Linked DNA regions of Canis lupus familiaris. The protein of the gene in region 2 purifies or fractionates together with the protein of the main gene of each other region. This does not show direct contact. Links are inferred from orthologs where the notes say so. Each region holds a gene or a part of one and is shown on either strand. Other genes may lie near its edges.

Evidence for each region.
Region 1: the proteins of SNAP25 (region 2) and STX12 purify together in Homo sapiens (co-immunoprecipitation; 3 studies listed by BioGRID and IntAct, with this or other methods). This does not show direct contact. The link is inferred for Canis lupus familiaris from reciprocal best matches to the Homo sapiens genes SNAP25 and STX12.

The regions. Positions count from the first base shown.
Region 1 is NC_049223.1:71,943,618-71,947,146, forward strand, and holds part of STX12 (syntaxin-12), read right to left. Parts: intron 1,650-3,529; coding exon 1,577-1,649; intron 876-1,576; coding exon 793-875; intron 1-792. UniProt on the Homo sapiens protein: SNARE promoting fusion of transport vesicles with target membranes. Together with SNARE STX6, promotes movement of vesicles from endosomes to the cell membrane, and may therefore function in the endocytic recycling pathway.
Region 2 is NC_049245.1:12,539,634-12,543,557, forward strand, and holds the start of SNAP25 (synaptosomal-associated protein 25), read right to left. Parts: upstream 2,877-3,924; 5' UTR 2,713-2,876; intron 2,572-2,712; exon of another isoform or gene 2,530-2,571; intron 2,441-2,529; exon of another isoform or gene 2,145-2,440; intron 1-2,144.

The DNA.
Region 1 (3,529 bases), on a different chromosome or scaffold from region 2:
TCCCGCATAATATAATATTGAGTGAATGTATATAATTTACTTCATAATTCCTTTACTGTCTGACACCAACATCATCACTCAGTTTTTAAAAGGAAACACTATTATTAAATACAAATTTCTTCAAGAACATTTCCAGGTAAAATACAACAATCCTAGGAACATGGGAAATGACCGAAATGCTGCTTATTTCTAAAAAGCCATATAGCACCAAAGAGATGGGAAATGAAAAGGACCGCATTCACAATATTTGCAATACTTGAGATAAAGACCCAAGTAAGGGTCATAAAACCAGAGTTTCATCTAATATGTAAAAGAATATCACTTCTTACAACATAGAACAATTAACTTCCATTTATTCATAGAAAAATAACCTCCACAGGATAACTCCCTATTTATTCACAATAGCAGTTGGAATTGATTTTATGTCTATCCTCTATGGCTGTAGTCAACATAAAGTACCTGCAAAGTCATACTTTGTACCTATTCCTATACTAATTGAAACAAATTTTAGCTGTTAAGAATATAAAATTAGCCTTCTACCAGATTTAGGTACTATGCCAGCTTACGGGGTTAGCTTTGTAGCTGAGACTTCTCTGTAAATTTATTCAAGGACTGATATCTTTTTGTAGATCTCTCTGAAGAAAATATTAAAAATGGACTGGAGTGCAATTATGACCACCTGCCTCCAGCTTTAGCCTAAGCAAAAGGCTGCAGCTGCTCTCAATGTGTCAATGAGATGTGACAGCTCATGAAGTATACAGCACAGTGACTTTCTTTGGTAAGTGCTTTTACCTGATAGTAAGCAGCTCGCTGTAACTGATCCGTGGCTCTCTCTACATGTACCTCTGAGCTTTCCACATTGGCTTCTATGCTGTCTGCAAAAAACAAAGAAGGGCAGTGGATATTTTTTATCATAACTGATGTTTCAAGATTGTAAATTAAACATACTCCTTATGTCATTGGTCCTGGTTTCACCACCACCATTCCAACTAGCCAGCCATGTAATCAAAATTACTAACCGGGTAAGAGAATAACTCTGTTCTTTGGGAATAAAGGATTATGAAGTAGGCAACTCACCACAAAATGGTTCAGGAAAAATTATGTATACACATGTATATTTGGAGAAATATAGAGGGCAAATCTAAACCAAATGAGGGTAGAATGTTAAGAGGTAAATCTGGGTAAAGGTTTTAAGGAATTCCTTGTAGTCTATTTTTGTAACTTTTCTAACCTTGAAATCATTTCCAAATAAAAAGCTTAGAAAAAAAAGGTTACTAATCCCAAAATTGTGCAAGTTTCCGGAGATAAAAGCTGGGAAGACAACAGCTATTTCCCTAAACAGCCAAAGACCTAAAAAGAGGCTATGGCAAGTGAGCTGAGTAATCATGCCCATGTCACTAGTGTCTATATTTGACAATATAAAAAGGGGACTAAAAAATGAATTTTATAATTTTTAAATGGCATTCCTAAATTCCTAAGACATGTCTTACTGACTTCTTCACACCAAGAAGTTGGTACTTCTTCAGTACCAACTATCAACTCACCTTGAGGTTAAAAGTATCAACGATATACATACCAATTAGATCACCTTGATCATGGATCATCATGGCCAAATCTTTAAATATTTGATTGACATCCAAAATATCAGCCTAAAGAACACAAAAAACAATTAACATTAAGCAACACGTTAGACAATTCAATTCCTTCTACTTAGCTAAAATTTTGGCTGTAAACATAACACAGATGTTTCTAAGGCTTATAAATCACCCTTTCTCCATAAACTGAAAATGAAAATAAAGTTAATTAATAGCTACTAAATGCCTATTATGTGCTAAGAACTATACCAGGTAGGTAATTAAACACAGACTTTTGGAGCCTAGTAGAGAGGATCCAGAGTCTTGCTGTGTGAAGTTAATCTTCCACCGTCCTGTTGTACCATCTTAGGTTAAGAAACTCTCTGGGTTGCCCCCTCTAAAATGTGGACAATGACAGTACCTATCTCATACTAAAGCGCAGAAGCACTAAATAAATTGATATATTTAAAGTTCTTAGAACTGTGCAATAAGCACTTCCTAAGTGTCAGCTATTACTAATCATTAGTTGGTCCTCATGACAACACAATGAGACATATATTATCCCCATCATACACAAGAGAAAACTGGGGGGCAGCCCTGGTGGCTCAGCAGTTTAGCGCAGCCTTCAGCCCAGGGTGTGATCCTGGAGACCTCAGGATCGAGTCCCATGTCAGGCTCCCACATGGCGCCTGCTTTCCCTCTGCCTGTGTCTCTGCCTCTCTCCCTCTCTGTGTCTCTCATAAATAAATAAAATCTTAAAAAAAATAAATAAATAAGAGAAAACTGGGGCTCAGAAAAGTTTGATGACTTATCCCAAGGTCTCAAAGCTAGCAAGTGGCAGAGCTCAGAATGAAAAGTTCATGATGTTTTCATTACATTACTATGCCTCTTTGATAGTTACATTAACCAGCCACTCTACGAAGTCAAGTATCTTTGAGGATAATAACACTCAGGAAGGTTATCTACCTGTCTAGTCACAACCCTTGTCAGTGAAGAAACTAAGCATTGCAGCCAGAGTATCTCTAAAGCACTTGCTCTTGCAATTGAAATACACTGCCTCTTAGAAGGCTAGGATAAAAACAATGCCTTGAAAGCCACAGCTTCCCAACCATAACTTGGCAAGAGCTTACCAGCACATCAATTACCCACTAAGAGTCTGCTGGAATCAGGACAGTCTACTAGTTGCTTGCTGACTAACATAATAGGAGGAGTTGCTTGCTGACTAACAGGGGTGGAGTCAGTACACAACAAGATAAATAAGAAAAGTCATTATATAGAAGTGACTGGTAAATGGTAAAGGAAAGTGTGCACAGGAAGGCTTGCAGGAGAGGTACAACTTGAGGTATACCTTACAGCAAAAGAGAAGCCATATAAACAAGCAGATGATTGAGTTAAAGAGCAAACAGCCAAAAAAAAAAAAAAAAAAAAAAAAAGAGCAAACAGCCCAGCTTGGATGTAACATGCATGTGAAACTGGGATTTATAAGAAATATACAGGGCGCCTGAGTGGGTCGATCAATTAAGCATCTGCCTTTGGCCTGGGTTATGATCCTAGGGTCCTAGGTTCAAGCCTCACATAGAGTTCCCTACTCAGCAAGGAGTCAGCTTCTCCCTCTCCCTCTGCCCCCACCCCCAACCCGCTCGTGCTCTCTTCCTGGTTCTCTCTCTCTCAAAAATAAATAATTATATTTAGTCTTCATCCCACTCCTGGAGCAAAGATCCTAAATTCCTTGAAGTTTCCTAAGTGGTAAAAGAAAGGAAACTATCTTTTGGTGCTTCTAACAAATCCTGTTCAACCACACTTGAAGTTAAAGAACAAGTCTTTTGGAAAGCCTCTGTTATCAGAGGGCTAGAGGCTGAAATCAACCATCAACAGCCAGATTTAATCCATCGAGTCCCACATTGGGCTCCCTACATGGAGCCTCCTTCTCCCTCTGCCTGTGTCTCTGCCTCTCT
Region 2 (3,924 bases):
AATTCCTGCGGGATTTTACCATGGAGAGGTTAAGATTATAAATTGTTTCGTATTCTGAATGCCGAAGTGATAATGCAGAAAATGCCAATGCACAAACAAGCAGGTACCATCAGAGGATCTACGTGAATGTTTCCTGGCACATCCTTATGTCCATCTGCTCCTGCCTCTTCTTGCCGTATTGCCCTGGATGTTTAAAATTTAAAATAGAAAATCTCTTCATTTTTTCCCGAAAAATTTAACATTCAATAACATGAATGTTAAATTCATGCTTCAATTATGTTTTTCTTTAATTTCTCAGTAAGCTGTTCTAGAATTAGCTCCGTAATTGTGCACATTGCCACTTCTTTCCAGATCTTTACCCTTTGCCAGCTTCACTGCAGTCTTCTACCTCCACCCCCCTAACCCCCATTTCCCCCAGTCTTCCACTAGCAAACAAACCCAGCAGTAATTACTAATGTCCAAGCACGTAATTCTGGCACCGTTAGGATTTTTTTTTTTTTTTTTGACGCAACTACGCAGAGCTGTCTGGACATGCAGCATGAAGTCAAAGCATTTTTAAAGACTCCTACCCATCTTTTCTCCCCTCCTCCTATCACTAAAACACAGTTGTTTATTTCGTTTGCGGATTGCAAGGTTATAAAATTCTTCCATGGAGTTACATAGCCCTGAATATTAATTTTACACCCATATACAGTAACAGATAAATATGTACTTATATGGAAACACATAGGTTATCCATAAAATTGAAAAACATTAGGAAATAAATAGCTAGGAATGAAAGTACCTCCTCTATATGGACAGGACCATTTTAGCAGCTCTAGTATAGAAATCATTGGAGTTATGACTAACAAAAACAATCCAAGATCTTAATGTGAGGCTTTTCAAAAGATCATGACAGTGTTTCTTTTAATGCGTTGCATAGATTCCTACATATGACGCTGTTACTCTTATTTAACAACTATTCAAATAGTACAGTTTTGCGCCTGGTATTTTATGACAATTTTAGTTATATCAAACAACAGGAAATATTCCTTGGTAATTTTTGTTCACTCAGAGGCCCCAAGGCTCAGAGTAGAAAATGATTAAAGTACTTATCACTGTCTCAGCAAAATCCCGCAGTGCCGTAATAGAAATTGCAGTAGATCTTTAGGTCAGAGTCCAGTTTCAGTCTAACACCTGCATGACCCTGAAGGACATAGTTGGATTTTGAGGAAAACCAGTCTTAATAATGTCCAGATCAGAAACTATCGGCCTGAGATAACCAATGTTCATAGGAAACACTTCCACTCCCTCTGAAACCATGGCAAAAGAGATTAAATCTATACCTTGTAGGACCTGTAATATTTCTGAGATGTATTTTTGTGAGTGTGTGCTTATGTACATGCCTAATTACAAGGATGGGAGAGAAGGAAGAAGAGGGCTTCATTCTTAAAGTTGATTCTGCTTAGTTTAACTATATATATATATATATATATATATATATATATATATCAAATAGAAATATATACAGAAATATATTACTCCTGTAAACAGATCATTTTGGTATCTTCATATATACCTCATTCATGCCCACCCAAGGTCTGCAGACAAATATACTCTGTGTTAAAAACAAAACCAAACAAAACCCTTGATATCTGACTGGAGGATGAAGCAGATTTTTCTTAAAAATGTGTTTACTTTCTACTTAAGAAAAAGGGACGAGGGCAACATGAGAAGTCTATAAGTAGACTTATTTCTTTTTTAAGCTATGCGGGAGCTGAGGATGGGAGCAGGTAATTGCCTGCAAAGCAGTCCTACGGCAGGATTTATTTTTTTCTTTTTTAAAATTGTTAACCTACTACGTCTTCTCTATCAGGGAGTCTCTCTGTGAGACCGAGGTCTCAGAGAGGCAATTTGGCCTCCAGCCCTGACCGGCAGCTCTGGCCAGGCAGCTCTGCGGCAGGTAGATGCGGCGAGGCTGCCGGGCCGCTCTCCGCGGTGCTGAAAGGTCGCGGGCGCCCGCGAGGGGCCTGGGCATCGCTGTCCAGGGTGCTGACTGCGGGCCGCCGCAGTCCCCGAGGCGAGCCCACCCCCGCCAGCCCTCCGCAGAGCCCTCCCACACAGCATGACCCGCCCGCCTCCCGCCAGCCTGCAGTCGACGGGGAGCAGGCGGCATAAATCAAGTCCGCGGGGCATGGAGGCTGCTGCCGCTGCTGCAGCTCGGCTTGCCCGGGGCGGGAACTCCCCCTTCTCTCGCCTCCCCAGCGCCCACGACCTGCCTTCTCCCTAATTCTTCGCTGGATAATAGCGCCTGAACGACAATAGTCAAAATAACAGGGTCAGAACGACAGAGTTTGTTTTGGTCTACCGGGGGAAAAAAAAAATCAAAAAACCAGCAGCCTAAACATCTCTGAAAACTGCATCGCAAAATGGAAGAGAGTCCCACTACTGTTTCGAAAGAGTAAGTTATTATTCGGCATGTATCCTTGCGCTTCCTCCCCATCGCTCCATCTGCAGTGTCCCCATTCCTCCCTTCCCCAGGCGGCTCACCTCGAAAATACTTTATAAAGCCCCTAGACCGGAGCTATCCCGACGCGCACACACGGCATACCGCACCCTAGGTGCACAAATACTTGTATTTGCCCACGCTCACTTGGTCTCCTCGGCTGTGGTCCCCTCTGGGTATGCAGCCATCCAAAACCAGAACCACGACCTGAGGTGGAGGCTCCTTACCTTGGCTTCTGCAGAGGGTGGTGTTCGCCTGGCCCCTCGCAGGGTGCAAGTGTGGAGGAGCCGCCAAGCCGGGAGGGAAGGAGAGACAGCGCCTGACCTCTCCGAGGTTTCGTCTTCAATGCAACGTGAGCTCTGCCCTCATCAAAGATGGCCGTCCCTTTTGACGTCAGCAGCTTTTAATAGCCCTCTCCAGGAGGGGCGGGGAGGAAGTGTGCCGCGGGGAGCGCGGGGGGAGGATGGAGGTGGGAGGTGGGCGGTGGGAGGGGCGGAGCCGAGTTGTGCGGACCGCTTGACTCAGCTCCCTGTGCGCTTTCCTGCAAACCTTTGTATTTCAGTCTTTTATAAACACCTGAATGAGGCGATTCTTATGACTCCATCTTAACACCCGGTGTCGGGCAAATACATTTATCTCGCGACTAGTTTTCTGATATTCTTTGTGTGTGTGTATGTATATATGTTATCTGTGTGTGCCTATATTGTGTCATATCTGCGACATATATGCGATTATATAGAATTTCCCCTCCCCCTGCTGAGTTGTCTTTGGTTGAGTCATAGAAGGGGAGGGGAAGGCAGAAGAGTAGAAGTGGGGGAGGTAGTCGAGGGGATTTCAGCTGCAATTCGCTTTTTCTAAGGAAGCGGCTCCGAAGGGGCATCCCTGTCAGCCCTCACCAGCTCCATATATGGCCAGGCTACGTGGGCTGCTATTTTTATGAGTGATTTCTTCATTTTATCAAAGCAGCACCCAGCGTTTAGAGTTTGCATTAATGTGGTCAGTTGGGGAGGCAGACGCGTACACGTTATTTTAAAGTACGTCAGAGCAATTATCTCTGAGAGATACAGAATGAATTGGGCGGAGGGGGAGGGAGGGGTAGTTAACCTAACCAGCGTGGGTTTCCTGGAGTTCAAGGCTTGGAGTTGAGAGTTATTTGCTGAGGGCAAACTAGATGACGCTGTTTTCGGTTAAATATGCAACCAGAACCTGGGGTTTTATGTTGGGTTTCTTAGGAATAGTTCACGGAAGCGCGCACAGACCTTATGGAACCATCCAGACTTCCAAGGGGAGTGGGGAAGGCTGAGGATTCCAGGATCTCTGGGACGCTACAGAATTTTGGTGGTTCATTCCATGTGCAAACCTGGGTACCAGTCGAGGCTAGCCGGGGTGGGGGGGGGGAGTGCTCTGATGCTTAAAACGGCGTGGGCGAGAAAGGCTAC